Linked DNA regions of Arabidopsis thaliana. The protein of the gene in region 1 interacts with the protein of each later gene in a pairwise test. Each region holds a gene or a part of one and is shown on either strand. Other genes may lie near its edges.

Region 1 (9,730 bases):
AAGCGGCTAATGCATGAATACAAGGATATTTTTGGATATCGAAAACCTTGCAACTGCAAGTTTTCAAAAGCAAGCTCACCGTATAATCTATTCCTTTGTCGCATGTGACTACATATTCACGCTCGAATGAGTTTAGTTCCACCACTTTTAGCTTCTCGGCAAAAACCCACAAATCATGCAAATAATTCTCGACCAAAGGCACCATCTTATTTTCTAAGGATCCAGACGCGGCTTCCATCCGATGTTCATTAAACCAAACGGAGATTTTTTTGATGATCGCATCAAGCATTGGTATTAACGAGTATTTCCTTGCGTTTTTAAACACATTGTTCAAAGATTCCACACAATTGCTTGTGTCTAAGTTGTATCTTTCTCCGGGAAAACAACACCTTGCCCATTTTTCTTTCACGGTTGTATCCTCCAAATACTTGGTCGCCTTAGGATATCTCAACTTAAACCCGTCATACGCTCGGTTGAAGTCTGCCACGACGTAGACCCGACTTAACTCCTGAAACTTCCATGCGAGTACATCTCGGTTGGTGTGAGTAGCATGACCTTTCACATTTTGGGACAAATGCCAAATACAATACCCGTGATGAGCCGCGGTATACACGTTCCGTATGGCCTTTATGAGGCTTGCATTTCTGTCCGTCATGAAAACCAATTCTGAAGTATCGGGTACAACCGTTTTTAGCTTCTCGAAAAACCACTCCCAACTAGCATCATTCTCACCGTCGAGTACGGCAAACGCTATGATGTAATGGTGACGGTTAGGATCTTGAGCCGAGGCAAACACTAGCACTCCGCCATATCCGTTCTTCAAATGTGTTGCATCCACAATTAAAACTTTCCTCATCACTCTAAAACCTTCAATGCTAGCTCCCAAAGCTACGAATATGTACTGAAATTTATCATTCTCATCCAATTTCAGATAAGTAACTGTACCATCATTTACCTTCTTCAACATGTATAAATAACAATTGATATCCTTGTAGCTTTTTTCCGGGCTACCTTTTAAATCATAAATCGCATGATATTTCCCCCTTAGCGCTGTCGAGTATGATACTTTCACACCTAATTTCGTCTGAACTAGCTCCATGATAATTCTTGGAACCGGAGTTTCCAACTGTCCCGAAAAATGATCATGAAGGAGAGCTGCGACTAATTGTGGGTTGCCTTTTTTTTTCCTGAGCCTACTACTACCTTTACTTAGCCGAGTGCAACTATGCATCTTATTATACCTTCTAATCGAGAATATATCAATATTACTGATATTGGACGCTCGTAAACGCCAAGAACAGCTCTCTTTGGCACACTTTAGGACATAGCGCTCCTTATCCGACTTCTTAATCACATAACCAAAAATGGTAGCAAATACAGCTCTATCCACCACCTCGTGCAATGCCGCCTTGTTTGGAAATTCTTGACGTAAGGTCAACCCAATTCCGTCTTCCCATTCTTTCTTAAACATACCCGGTTCTACAACAGGTGGCGACTCAACATACTGTTCCCCCCTATCAGAATCATCCATAGACTCATCATAGCGTGTTTCATCTTCTTGAGTCTCGTGATCCTCCACTATTGCCTCAAGTTGATGTTGAGTTCCGTGATCCTCCACTATTGCCTCAAGTTGATGTTGAGTCCCGTGATCCTCCACTATTGCCTCAAGTTGATGTTGAGTTCCTTGTTCCTCTTCTAATAAGACGATGAGTGCACCATCATCCACTCTCATTTCATCCTCCTCTGTATAGTTCTTACCAACAGAACTTTTACCAACTCTAGACAATTGCTCGGGCAATTGCTCCGGCTCGGGCGGTTTAGAGATCTCCTCCACAACCAAAACACTTCTTCAGTTATTTTTTGCGGATGTTACATAAACAAAGACATCCTCATCATCACAAACGTTCATTTCTTCCTCTACTCCGAACAACCGTGGATTGTACCTCATATGCAATTTTACCTTATTTGCATCTAATCCAAGCTTCGTCATTATCCTATCTTCTAACATTGAGAGAGTAATCTTCTCCCCTAATGTCTTCATCATCACATTATACATGCGACCTTGGAATTTAAAATATATGATCACGTTCTCTTTCATTGTAACCTGCCAAAACAATACACATACTCAGTCAATATTACTAGTATTATCGATTCTAGTACATTTTCAGTAATACTATTACTAATTCTGAAATATTACATGTGTGAGTAATACTATTACATATATGAAATACTACGTGTCTAAGTAATATTGGTGCTATTAAAACATACTATCTATATAAATTACGGTACTACTATAGTTAGTGCGACCAGTATTATTTTCGCGACAAGAACAAATATTCGATTTGAGTTCAATTTAGTATGAATCAGCATGTGAAATCAATTGCTTACCCATTAACAGACCAAATGAAGCCTAAATCTATACTTAAACTTCTAATGTAGGTGCTAAAACACAATAATCCAAATCTAATTTGATTGAATTTCAAAATCCTCAAAATATGTAATTCAAAGCTTTTGAAGCTCTCTCCATACCTGGACTTAGTAGATTGATGCAGCTTGCAGGAGGAGAAAAACGACAATGCGGCTCGCCGGAGGAAGAAGCCCGAAGAAGAACGAGCTCGAGCTTTTTTTTTTTTTCCGTTTTTTTTTTTTTCAAAATGTTTTCTAGAAATATTAATTATTCATTCAAAATAAAATACAGGGGTAAATTCGTCTTAACACAATTCATTAACTCAAAGGAGATAGGAAGACTCTAAAGTGGTTTTGCAGATTAGTTGTCCCACAAAAGGGACACAAGAGATGATCATTCTAAATAATGACTAGGATTCAACCTGTGTTTTATTATTTTGGGTGATTGTTGTATATTTAGTAGGAGAATATATTTTAATGTCGTCAAGCATGTGTACTATTTAATAAGTTTGTATGTAATTTTAAGATAGTTAAAGTAGTTAAATAAATGTGAAAAAGTTTAAGTATTCATAAGTTTTAGGCATTAAAATTTTTCTTATACTTTGTTTTTTTTAGATTAAAAATATTTTGAACTTTTTTGATATGATTTATAAAAATCAATAATACTCAAAAAGTAAATGACAGAAAGATTAATGATAAAATTTTAATTAAGTAAAATATTTTAAACAAAATGAATAGGTTTTTTAAATTTTTATTGTAAGTAATTCTACAAAATGTGGTTAAATTAGGTGAAAATAGAATCTTAGAAATAATATTTGTATAAATGATGCTCATTATTCATCATGCTAAATTGGAGTCTTTGTTAATCAGAGAAGTCAGCTTATGCAGTATATTTAGAAAAAGCCAAAAAGGCTAGAAAGAGATAACATAAAACAACTTTCCTTTGTTGTTGTTATAAGTAAAACATTTACGAAAAATCCCGGATATTCACCTAGTAAATTAATAAAGTGTGCATAAGAGAGTACTAAAATGAATAAAGTATGAAATTTACTGCTAAACCAAAATCACCTTTCCAGCGAATTGTGGTCGTTCGAATGGAATAATCCGGTTAAGCTATACCAGAGATGGATGTTAATACGGTTTACTTTCTTGAGAAAAAAAGAATTTATGCAAAGAAAAATAAAACTTTTTTGACAAATAAGATATGTGGATAATGTGAGAGATAAGAAATATCGAAAACTATATAATAAAACTACTGTTGTGGATAATGTAAGAGACGATACAAATAGCCTCATAAGGCAAAAAACAATGGCATCATCATCATCATCACATTTGTTTTGACGCTCCAAGAAAATTTGCATGGCGACACATTCTATGATCATTCCTTCTCCTTCTTCTTCTTCCTCGTCTCTCGCTACTGCTGCGTCTCCGTTTAAAGAGACTCTACCACTCTTTAGTAGATCTCTCACATTCCCGAGAAAATCCTTGTTTTCTCAGGTTCGCTTGAGATTCTTCGCCGAGAAACATTCTCAGCTTGATACTTCAAATGGGTGTGCCACTAATTTCGCTTCTTTACAAGATTGTGAGTTTCTTCTCCAGTTTCTATGTGACTAGATTAGTTTTTGATAGAATTCTTGATGAAGTTTCTTGTACCTGTCGTTGATTGTGTTGTTAGGATTGTAACAGTTTTATGTCTATTGAAGAAAGTTGTTCAAGATTGTATCTTTATGACCTTTTATACTCAAAGATACCATCTTTGATTGTAAAGTTTATGTCTTTGAGTATTCTAGGATTGAATGTAGAAGATTAGAGTGATTGTGAGTTGGTTAGATAGCAATGAGTAAGGGTTTGGTTTTGGAATTTGGTTAATAAAGTCTCTTTCTTTATGAACTGAAGTAGTTTTGTAGCCTCTGTCTGTGTTTTTGACGATTGAAGAAAGTAGTTCAAGATTGTATCTTTTGTACTCAAGGATACCATTTCTCATCTAAGGATTATGTCTTTGAGTATTCTAGGATTGAATGTAGTAGATTAGAGTGATTGTGAGGTAGTGAGGGTTTGGTTTAGCAATTTGGTTGATAAAGTCTCTCTTTTTATGAATTGAAGTAGTTTTGTAGCTTTTGTTTGTGTTTTTGATTCTTTGGAGGATGGTTTTTACCAAATTGTTTCAGCTGGAGATCAACTTACAGAGGAACATGTTACAAAAGGAGAGTCTACTCTTAGTATTACAGTTGTTGGAGCGTCAGGGGACTTAGCCAAGAAGAAGATATTTCCTGCATTGTTTGCTCTCTTTTATGAGGGTTGTCTTCCTCAGGACTTTTCTGTTTTTGGTTATGCTCGGACTAAACTCACTCATGAAGAGCTTCGTGACATGATTAGTAGTACTTTAACTTGCCGGATTGATCAGAGGTATATTCTGCTATACGTTTTTAGTGTATGTTTTAGTTAAAGTTTATGCTTTGGTTATATGAACAAAAGTTGGAATCAACAGGGAAAAATGTGGGGATAAGATGGAGCAGTTCTTGAAAAGATGCTTTTACCATTCGGGTCAGTATAACTCGGAAGAGGATTTTGCGGAACTAAACAAGAAGCTCAAAGAGAAAGAGGTAATTTTCTTTCACTCTCTCTATGCTTATTTCTTGTACCAATGGCACGAAGCACATTTCTAATTCCTTTCTGCTTTGTAGGCAGGAAAGATATCAAACAGGCTGTACTATTTGTCGATACCCCCAAACATATTCGTTGATGTGGTTAGGTGTGCAAGTCTTAGAGCCTCCTCAGAGAATGGCTGGACAAGGGTCATTGTGGAAAAGCCATTTGGTCGTGACTCTGAATCATCCGGAGAGTTAACTAGATGTCTGAAACAGTATCTTACAGAGGAGCAAATCTTCAGGTTAGCCATTTCCTTAGCCCAACAGCCATCACTGCCATTCATTTTTAAGCTGGAACTTAACTGCAATGTTATGTGACATACGTAGGATTGATCACTATTTGGGAAAGGAGCTTGTTGAGAACCTTTCAGTGCTCCGATTCTCAAATCTTGTTTTCGAGCCTCTGTGGTCAAGAAATTACATACGCAACGTTCAGCTGATTTTTTCTGAGGATTTCGGAACAGAAGGGCGTGGAGGGTAAGCTTTCATAAACAACTTACAAAGCATGAACACTGAACACCTTTGATCAGTATGACACTGAACACCTTACTAATGTTAAATCGATGCAGTTACTTTGATCAATATGGAATCATACGAGACATCATGCAAAACCATCTCTTGCAAATACTTGCACTTTTTGCAATGGAGACGCCAGTGAGCTTAGATGCTGAGGACATAAGAAGTGAAAAGGTAAGACTTTTTTCACTAAGAAGAAAAGCTTTAGGTTGGTTATAAAATACTATACCGATGATTATGTGTTCCTGTAAGGTGAAAGTTTTGAGATCAATGAAACCGTTGCGGCTTGAAGATGTGGTTGTTGGTCAATACAAAGGCCATAACAAGGGAGGAAAAACTTATCCAGGTTATACAGACGATCCAACGGTTCCAAATCACAGTCTCACTCCTACATTTGCTGCAGCAGCCATGTTCATCAACAATGCGAGATGGGACGGTGTTCCTTTTCTTATGAAAGCTGGAAAAGCTCTCCATACCAGAGGAGCAGAGATCAGAGTTCAGTTCAGACATGTCCCAGGAAACTTGTACAAGAAAAGTTTTGCTACTAATTTAGACAATGCAACAAATGAACTAGTGATTAGAGTTCAGCCTGATGAAGGGATATACCTGAGGATCAACAACAAAGTTCCTGGTCTTGGAATGAGACTAGATCGCAGCGACCTTAACCTTCTATATCGATCCAGGTACAACAATGCATACTACTGATTCTAGTTTTCCTATAGAGATTATTTATTTATATTCTTTTGGGGTTGATAGGTATCCAAGAGAGATACCAGATGCATATGAAAGACTGCTTCTCGATGCAATCGAAGGAGAGAGGAGGTTGTTTATCAGAAGTGATGAGCTAGATGCAGCATGGGATCTATTCACACCGGCTTTGAAGGAACTAGAGGAGAAGAAAATCATTCCTGAGCTCTATCCATATGGAAGCAGAGGTCCTGTTGGTGCACATTACCTTGCATCTAAGTACAATGTGAGATGGGGAGATCTTGGAGAAGCTTAAGCTTTCGACAGAAACAATATGATTTGGTGTTAATATGAGTAAACTAACTTGTCGATATTATCAATGCGTAGATAAATCCTTGTTACCAAAACTTGCTTTTTCTCTGACATTTTTTGATTGTTTTTGGTTCTAAATCGAGCATTTCGGAGGAATGTACCAAAACTCTTGCAGGAATAGACCATTTCCATCATTGCAACAGGTTTAGAGGAGAGATCTGAGATAACACAAAGGTATATTGAACAATGCAGTAACTTAAGTAGACAAAACAACAAACCATACTTATGACAAAATAGTTTATTTTCAAACAATGATAAAGAACTGAGACAACAGAGGAGACAGACAAGTTACTTAACACTTCCAACAAGTTACTACTATGCTAAAAAGGCAAAAACCTCAAGAATCACTTGAAACTATATAAATGAAACCTCAAGAGACAAATGAAAATATCAGAGAGCTACTATGTCTCAAGAGGAAAGCAGAGGACTCCACGGCACCTGAAAGTCCAAAGACTGATATTGTCGCCAGCCTTTAAGCCGTTACCTTTGACTACATCGTTCCAACCCCAATTCAAAATGTAATTCAATGTTCCGTGTCCAGAGTCCTTCTCCATCGCCCATATCTTGAAACGCAAACCCCACATTTTAGATCTTTGGTTCACAAGAATCGTTCCCACACCAATATTCTTGTCATCTTCGTTGTCTTCGTCTTTCTGTATGGCTCTACACTCCGCAGGCGTCAAGAAGTCGTTTCTGATTAGCTGCTGGAAAGGGATTAAGAGACGGCTCAGGCCTGATTTGACATCACTATTGAACAGAGTCCTCTCAAATATCAGCCTCGGGGTTTCAGCATCAGCGTTCATGTATCTCATCACCTGGAAAACCCACTCTGGCGTCTCTATAGACATCCTTGGCAAAGAAACAACCCTCGCTTTCTTGAGTTTACCACTCTTCCTCTGCTGCACGGCACGCCTCTTGCGGCTTTTGTTCTCCGTTAGGCATGAAGACGAAGATGAAGATTGGTAATTAGGGTTTGTTAGGTTTTTCTTCTCTGTCTTCCCCAACTTAGCCGTGTTGTAATCCAAGGGTAACGAAGGATCATAACAACGAAGGTTCAAGAACGATGAAGACGCAGAAGCCCCATTATACACCAACTAACGGCTCATCAAAACTAGGGTTTTGTTGGGTTTTCAAGTCGTAATCAGTGGTGATTAGGTTCAGATCGAGAACCGCTGAAGAAGTAGAAGCCCCGTTAGGGTTTTGCTGCGTGTATCTTCTCTTCACCAAAGACGATCTGATTTTTCTCGGGAAACGATAGAAGAAACTCTTGTCGCTATCTTCTTCTTTAGAGACAGTCTTTAGAAGACGACGAAATTGTTCTTCTTCCGCAACCATAACCGCAACTTCGGCCAGTAAACAAAGACTCGAACACATATCCTTCCCTGAATCCGTGAGATCGTACATAGTCATTGTAATGGAACCGAAAGACTCGAAAGCTCTGAGAATGAAGTCGTGAGGAACAAGGAAATTAGAAAGATGGAGAGCCGCTGATCGAATAATGCAGAAAAAAGTTGCCTTCTCTTTAAGGAAAGAGGGTAGGGCTTTTTGTTGTTTCCATTTTTCTTTTGAGTTTAGTGGTTTAATTACTGTGATTAGTAACTAATTATAGCCGTTGTGATCAAGTTAACGTTTCTATTTAAGATTTAGTCCCCATATCTTTCGATTATTACGAAATTGCACCACTTATTTCGTCATATGAATTCACCCCACATCTTTCGGTAGACAGAATCCATTGCCAATTCTTATGATTTATTATGTTGTTGTAAAGTATAATTTTTTAGAGTCGCTGACTGAATCTAAATGAATCATATTATCCTCTTATAATTATAATACACAGAATCCATTGCCAATTCTGATAATTTCTTAAGAATTGATTTATATTATCCTCTTATAATTATAATAGAATTTAATCTTAATTTTAAAAATTATTATTATAAATTTCACTAATTTTAAAAATTACTTATTTATTACCTTTTTACACACTATATAACGTTTTATAGTTTTTCATAAATCTTGTTAAATCCTCCTCTTCATTAGATATATTTGCCATCATTTATTTTTCTTTTTTCTTTTTTTCTACTGCCATTTATTTTTCATTTCTTAAATATCTTTTTAATACTTTTTAAAGCCCATCCTCCACAATGATATGAACTAGAAAATCTTTTATTATAAATAATTGACCAAAAAACTTATGTTTTTTTTGGTAAAAAATACTTAAGTTTGTACATACTTATTTGCATATTTGTTTTATGGCAACACTCATCTATATTTCGAGAAAAGAGGCATGTGTTTTTCTTCTTTAGATTTATATATATATATATATATATATATATATATATAAAATATATTTTTTGTAAAAGGATTATATATATATATATATATATATATATATATAGTTCAATATTAACTTATACAAAAATAATGTGATGTTAGTTTTTTTCACCTGAATCGTATTAGATTATCTTTAGTTTTCTTACAAGAGTCCAGCGAGAGAATATATGGTTTCTGATCCAATCAAATTTTATATTTAGTTGTATGGTCGGGTTTGACTACAAAGACATTTGCAAAATAAATGTATCAATCATACAGCAAAATGAGGTTTTCTTGTCATTATTTGCCATCCTATTTGTTTGGGGTTTCACAAGGCCTAAGTCAAATTTGCACAGAATCGGTAAATACAATGTTGCCACGCAAATCAAATTAGCTAAAAACCATAAATTTTGATTGCTTAGGATTTTTTTTTTAAATGACAAATCGTTTGCTGAATTCAAGTACCCACAAAACAAAATGAATTTGAGAGATTTGACATTTTATTAAAATTCCCTGTAGAATTGGTTATCATGGCTTGCTTTTATTGATGAACTCACGTTCGTATTCATACAAGAGAGCTCCACAGGAGATAAACACAGATCCTAAAATATAGGTATCCCAAACCTTATCACAAAGGGATTTAAAACCATAAATTCTAATTCATATAGATTCATATCTATCCTCCAATACTCCCCCTCAAGTTGGAGCATGGTGGTCTTGAATGCCCAACTTGGACATTAAGGTAAGAAATTGAACACGTCCAAGGGCCTTGGTTAAGACATCTGCTAGCT
Region 2 (6,430 bases), on another chromosome or scaffold:
TCAAACCAAGGACGGCAACCAAAAAAAAAAAAAAAAGACATTACCAATAGAGAGGTTTCATCAGATTTAACACTTTCGTTCAGACCTAATATATTAGAATATTTTCTTGGCAATCTAAAACTAAAACTTTATGAACTAATCATATAATTTATCTTCTTGATATTTCTGATTTATATTGTCCAAACTAAATAACTTGGTTTTGGTCGAACTTTAGTCATAGACCGGATCAACAACTCTAAAACCTCAAAAGCTTGTCGGGAACTGTGGGATCAGTCCAAAAATAACTCAATTCTTTCGGCTATTATTCATTTTGTCCTAATTGACATATCCTTATCCACAAATTGGGTACACATAAACTATGGTGGATGAATTTCTTTGCTTATGCAAAAATAAGGAGATATTTCGAACGTATTTATTCTCTTTTGCTCGTGGTCGATAAAGACCTTTTTCAGCTGAATACGTATATTCTTTCTTTAGATTAGGACATGTATGAACCTTTAGCCCCTTTTGCATACATGTGCTCATTCATTAGAGTGTCGCATAATATCTTTTAATACGAGGAGTTTTAGAATAAGTAACAAACCTTAGCGTGTGTTCATCAAAAAACTTGCAGAACCAAACAATCTTAAGATCTCTCTCATGACCAAAAAAAGATTGGTGGAATCATTTTAATGTGGTTCCATTAGTCTAGTCCAAGATTGTTCTTTGATACCTTTAGTTCCGCATCTCAAAACATCTTCAAACCAGTAAAAATGACATAAGACATGACATCATATTATTTATCCAGGTCTAGATGTTCAGTGATAATGAGTTACAGAGATAATGAGAACAAGAACGAGAGACAGAGAGATACGAGATCTTACAGACTCCACAAGTGATATTTCATGGCAAGAACTTGTCGAGGCTAGATGTGAGTGTGGTTTTGGGCACTGCACCTATGATTGTATCCTTCTTCTCGCCACCGACAAAGATCATGATCGTTGGGATGCTTCTAACTCCGTACTGGCCGGGAGTATTAGGAGATTCATCAGTGTTTAATTTGTAGAACTTGATCTTCCCAGTGTAATGCTGTGCTAGATCGTTTACAAGCGGATCAATCATCTTGCAAGGTCCACACCATGGTGCCCAAAAGTCGACAACTACAGGCCCAGTTGCTTTAAGAACTAGAGAGTCCCATGTCGAGTCATTGACCACTTGAACTGCAGGATCAATAACACAAATCAACACCTTATTGCCAAAGCTTTTAGAATCATGAATGAAAACAAAATATATCAGCCAAGGTGGACGAATAAAACAAAGAGACAGCTGACCCGTTTATCCATCTTCAGCTAGATCAGTATGTTGTAGCAAGTCTATATGATATTTCCTAAAAATGATCTAGAAGTGAAAGTTTTTCAAAATAGAAATTTGATAGATCCAGTGAAGGATAAAGCTTTATGTTTTCACCAGAGAGGAGAGACCAATGACTGAGTTAACATTGTAGCAGATAATACTGCTAATCTCACCAAACACATTATCACGGAAAAGGACTTACCTATCTAAAATCGTAGAATATCAATGCTAGTGATAACCAAAATCGTTATCTGCTGGTATAGAGAATCAAGATATGTTTACTCTAAAGCACAAAAAGCAACATTCTTCTCTCATGAGCCAAATAACTGTTTCTTGTCACAATGTGTATGATCCAACCAATAAAATATCTGAGTAGGTACCCAACCTAATTTCTAGGTTTGTTAGAGAGACTTTGCATTAATCAAGTAAAATATCCCCAAAAAAGAAGTGATCCTAAAAAGCAACCTTCTTCAAATTTCACGCAAATGGCATGAATCGTTCCTCTAACAGAAACCTCATTTTCAGCAAGAATTTTCTCAAAAGGTATACTCTCCTAAAGAAACTCTTCTTCCTCCTCCAGATTCACTAATCTGTAACTAATCTCAAGTTTTTAGCAGATTACTAAATGCTACAACAAGAACAACAACACAAATTCAAGCACCTTGCTTCTAATTTCCCTCGCACAAATCAATAATCAGTTCTCAAAATCCACCAACGAGCACGAATCAAAGACAAGTTAATAACCAAAATCGAAAAAGGAATAGTGAGAAAACATACTATCGGTAGTAGTTTCCTGAGCTTCACAGACGACGGCTCTTCGTAATCGAGAAACCCTAGGTTGATGAATCGAGGTCAACGAAGCCGGAGAGAGAGAAAGACGGATTCTCAAACCTGATGATTCCGGTAAGACGGCGAACATCCGCCGAGAAGAGAGAGAAGAAGCCGATGGTGATGAGGATACGATTCTGGTCTCGGAGCGGAGAGAAATCGGAGGACGAGAGGTACAAGTGAAAGCAGCCATGGCTATAGATAGAGAGAGGAGAGGTTTCTCCAAATCCCCAAGTGAAAAAATAATATCCAGATAGATAGAGAAAATAAAAAGATAACGAAACTAATGGAAGAGAAAATGTAGACAAAACACTGATGCAGATTTTTTATATATACATCAACACAAACAAATATTTTTGGAAAAATAAGTATTTCTACTAAAAATACAATTAAAATACAGTTGTGAAAAAAATCGAGAAATAATAAATTGAAATATTTTTGAATTTTTTTGATTTGTTGAGCTGTAGATATCATTTGCCCAAAATAACCGAAAAAAGTAGAAAACGAAAACATATTGTAAATTGTTTTTTTAATTGTTTGGGTAAGATAGTGCTCTGACTAAGCCCATCTGTAATAAGCCCATAAAACTTTTGAGATATTTTTTATTGGGCTCATATTAGGCCAGTTGCACTTTTTTTTTTTAATCCAGTCACTTGTGGATTTAACAGAAATTTTAACAAAGTTCCGTTACCCGCAATTTGTGATCTCGGGTCAATTTAATGACTATTTTGGCAACATCAACAAAAAGTTAGCGACTGAAATAAGAAGTCACTAAAAGTTGACTATTGAAATGAAAAGTCAATAAAATTTAAACGTATTATTTTACCCCACACTAATTTTTTTTTTTTTTTTTTTTTTTTTGTATTTTTGAACATTTGAAGATCTCCTGACATTTTTTCGCAATTGTTTTTCTCAAAATTTTCTTTAAAAAAATAAATAAATTATAACGCTTGCTTATAAGATAACTAAAAGTCTAAAATTTTGAATAAAAAACTATTTGGCATGAAAAATTCGCTTTTGTTAACAATTTTCTTCAAAATTGGTTCGTTGAATCCTAAATAATATCTGATGACAAAAAAAAAGATTATAGCAAAAGTATTTTCTTGGAAAACCAACATTTTAAAACTTGATTGGTAATGGTATGACAATTAGCTCTTGAAAAATGAAAACAAAAACAAAATCTTAAAAATCTATAAAACTTTCAAAACCAACATTTTGGATCTGCCTCTTTTTCTTTTTCTTATATACCTCTAGTATTGAGGAACCACTTCAAAGTCTTTCCTCTGATGTCACTTTAGCTCGCTGACATCTCTTCTACTCCTCAATTTCTTTATAATCTCGGTAGATCTCTCTACTAAAGAAATTCCTCCTTTCTTGGTTTCTTCTCAATATTTTGTTTTATTTTTGTTTTCTCTTTCCACATGTCTCTTTTTATTATGTTACAAAAATTTCCTCAATGTTTTCTACGATGTTAGGTTCAATGCGTCCGGTCACCACTTATGTTTTCACTGTAAGAACTCATTATTCCCCAGCCCTATGCGAAGAAAGAAAATGGTGGTAGCTAGAGACCAAGTGATGGATTTTTACAAACGTGTTCATAGTGTCCTCACAGATAAAGAGTTGTCGAAATTAGAAGATTTGAGGCAGCTTATTCGATCAAAATAATCTTACAATAAAGAAGTTATCTTCAACACCGACATCATATCTCTTTTATATGATTCACAGTGTCATTGATGAAATGAAAAGTTGGTTGATAATATTTGTTGCGTTGGGGATGGGTTATTTGATGTTCGAATCCTGGGTTTTGTTTAAAAATTTCGTCTATTAATGTATATAGCTTAGATTGTTGTATATAAGCTTAGTTTGGTTAGTATAGATTTCATATAGAGTCTGTACAGGTTGGTATTCTATAAACCAATCTTAATTTTGGTTTAGAGGCTTATGGTTTAGGCCAATATCAGTTTGTATATAAACCCCCAATTGTACTCTTTTGCTAATTAATGAGAATGAGATTGTTTTACTAATATGGTATCAGAGCAAAATATCTCGATCTCAGTCTCGTAACAAACTTTTCCGATTTGATTTCACTGGAATCTCACCGGAGTTTGTTCATCTTCTCATTTTTTTTCTTCTCTTGAACTTCTACACGTTTTCTCTTCGTTTCCTTTGCGATCCAGTCTCATTTGTTAGCTGTTTCGATTCTCCATGGGTAAACGAAATGGAAAGAGTGTTCGTCGGAGTAGTTCACCGGATCTACTTGTCATTGCTTCATCGAAGATTCATGAGCAGTCTTCTGGTTCATCAGCAAGAGCTCCAGGATCCTCGATTCATGCTGCGATTCATCAACCAGCTCAATACAGCTCATCGCGTCACTTTGAGGTATCGGATTCTCCTGATAATAGTCACAGTCCTTATCATCTTGTTAGCTCCGATCATCCTGGTTTAGTCTTAGCTCCAGAACTGTTAGATGGAAACAGCTATGGTACCTGGATTATAGCCATGACTACTAGCATTGAAGCTAAGAATAAGCTTGGATTTGTGGATGGATCTATTCCAAAACCTGATGATGATGATCCTTATTGCAAAATCTGGCGTCGTTGTAACAGTATGGTTAAGTCTTGGCTTCTGAATAGTGTATCGAAGGAGATCTATACAAGCATCTTGTATTTTCCCACAGCCGCTGCAATCTGGAAAGATCTCTATACTCGATTTCACAAATCTAGCCTCCCTCGACTTTACAAGCTGCGTCAACAGATTCACTCTCTTCGTCAAGGCAATCTGGATTTGTCATCGTATCATACTCGTAAACAAACTCTTTGGGAAGAATTGACGAGTCTTCAGGCTATTCCACGGACTGTAGAAGATCTTCTGATTGAAAGAGAGACTAATAGAGTCATTGATTTTCTTATGGGACTCAATGATTGTTATGATGCTGTTAGAAGTCAGATTCTCATGAAGAAAACTTTGCCTTCTTTGTCTGAGGTATTCAACATGATTGATCAGGATGAAATTCAACGTTCTGCAAGGATTTCTACTACTCCAGGAATGACTTCATCAGTGTTTGCAGTCTCCAATCAGTCTTCACAATCTGTTCTTAATGGAGACACCTATCAGAAAAAGGAGAGGCCAGTTTGTACTTACTGTAGTCGCCCTGGTCATGTTGAAGACACTTGTTACAAGAAACATGGTTATCCAACTTCTTTCAAGTCTAAGCAAATTGCAAATACTGAATTGCAAATTGTAGATCCGTTCACCAAGCTTTTGTATCCATCGCACTTCCAACGTCTAATAAGCAAGATGGGTCTACTCAACATCTTCGTCCCATCTTGAGGGGGACTATTAATGTATATAGCTTAGATTGTTGTATATAAGCTTAGTTTGGTTAGTATAGATTTCATATAGAGTCTGTACAGGTTGGTATTCTATAAACCAATCTTAATTTTGGTTTAGAGGCTTATGGTTTAGGCCAATGTCAGTTTGTATATAAACCCCCAATTGTACTCTTTTGCTAATTAATGAGAATGAGATTGTTTTACTAATATCGTCAACAATCTCATCGTCTTTTTCCCAACAAATGTTGGTTTTGAAGTTGAATGATGTGGGTTCTATAATGTTCATGGACTCAGTCTGCTTATACGATTCTAAGTTTCTTGACTAGAAACTAATGGTAAATTTGTTATAATGATTGATCAGCACAAGTACTAATTACTACCAAACGAATAAAATTTTAGTCATTTGTATTAGTATCAATGTGTTATCACTTATCACTTAAGTTTGTTAAATATTTTTATAATTGTTAATTGTAAACTAAATATTTTTTTAGTCATTTGTATCAGTAACAATGTAGTCTTGAATCTCCAAATATTATAGAATTTTTTTGCTTTAGATTTCAGTTAACAATTTTTCTACAAGGTTTGTTCATACGATATATCCGCCACAAGGTATGTTAATAAGCTATTGGTCGTCGCTGGTTTTTGATCTTCATACTTGATAAGTGATAACTAAATCTTGGTAGTTGGTTTAAAGAAAACAATAATGTTAAAACAATGCAAAAGGAAACGGGCTTGGGATGTTAACACGTTCTAAGTTCGATTCACCTGCTCTGCGAAACTTAAATATATTTTCTTGGATATCTTATATCTACATAGATATGGGTCCATGTTTACGGTTCATTTCAATATCTGAAGAAAGGATTTTATCTATGAGATGCACCTTCCTCAGAGATTATTTTGGATTCTTTCGTAGGTTTATGATTCTAAATTAACAAAAA

Evidence for each region. Proteins that work in one complex are often made in the same cells at the same time.
Region 2: the proteins of G6PD1 (region 1) and ATHM2 interact in a two-hybrid assay, tested with the Arabidopsis thaliana proteins (one study listed by BioGRID).

Annotation. Positions count from the first base shown.
Region 1 is NC_003076.8:13,953,722-13,963,451, reverse strand, and holds G6PD1 (glucose-6-phosphate dehydrogenase 1), read left to right. Parts: upstream 1-3,621; 5' UTR 3,622-3,765; coding exon 3,766-3,988; intron 3,989-4,574; coding exon 4,575-4,812; intron 4,813-4,894; coding exon 4,895-5,009; intron 5,010-5,090; coding exon 5,091-5,296; intron 5,297-5,381; coding exon 5,382-5,531; intron 5,532-5,623; coding exon 5,624-5,744; intron 5,745-5,822; coding exon 5,823-6,253; intron 6,254-6,326; coding exon 6,327-6,573; 3' UTR 6,574-6,780; downstream 6,781-9,730. UniProt on the Arabidopsis thaliana protein: Catalyzes the rate-limiting step of the oxidative pentose-phosphate pathway, which represents a route for the dissimilation of carbohydrates besides glycolysis.
Region 2 is NC_003075.7:1,561,703-1,568,132, forward strand, and holds ATHM2 (Thioredoxin superfamily protein), read right to left. Parts: upstream 2,503-6,430; 5' UTR 2,354-2,502; coding exon 2,110-2,353; intron 1,694-2,109; exon of another isoform or gene 1,535-1,693; intron 1,200-1,534; coding exon 883-1,199; 3' UTR 501-882; downstream 1-500. UniProt on the Arabidopsis thaliana protein: Thiol-disulfide oxidoreductase that may participate in various redox reactions. May activate NADP-malate dehydrogenase.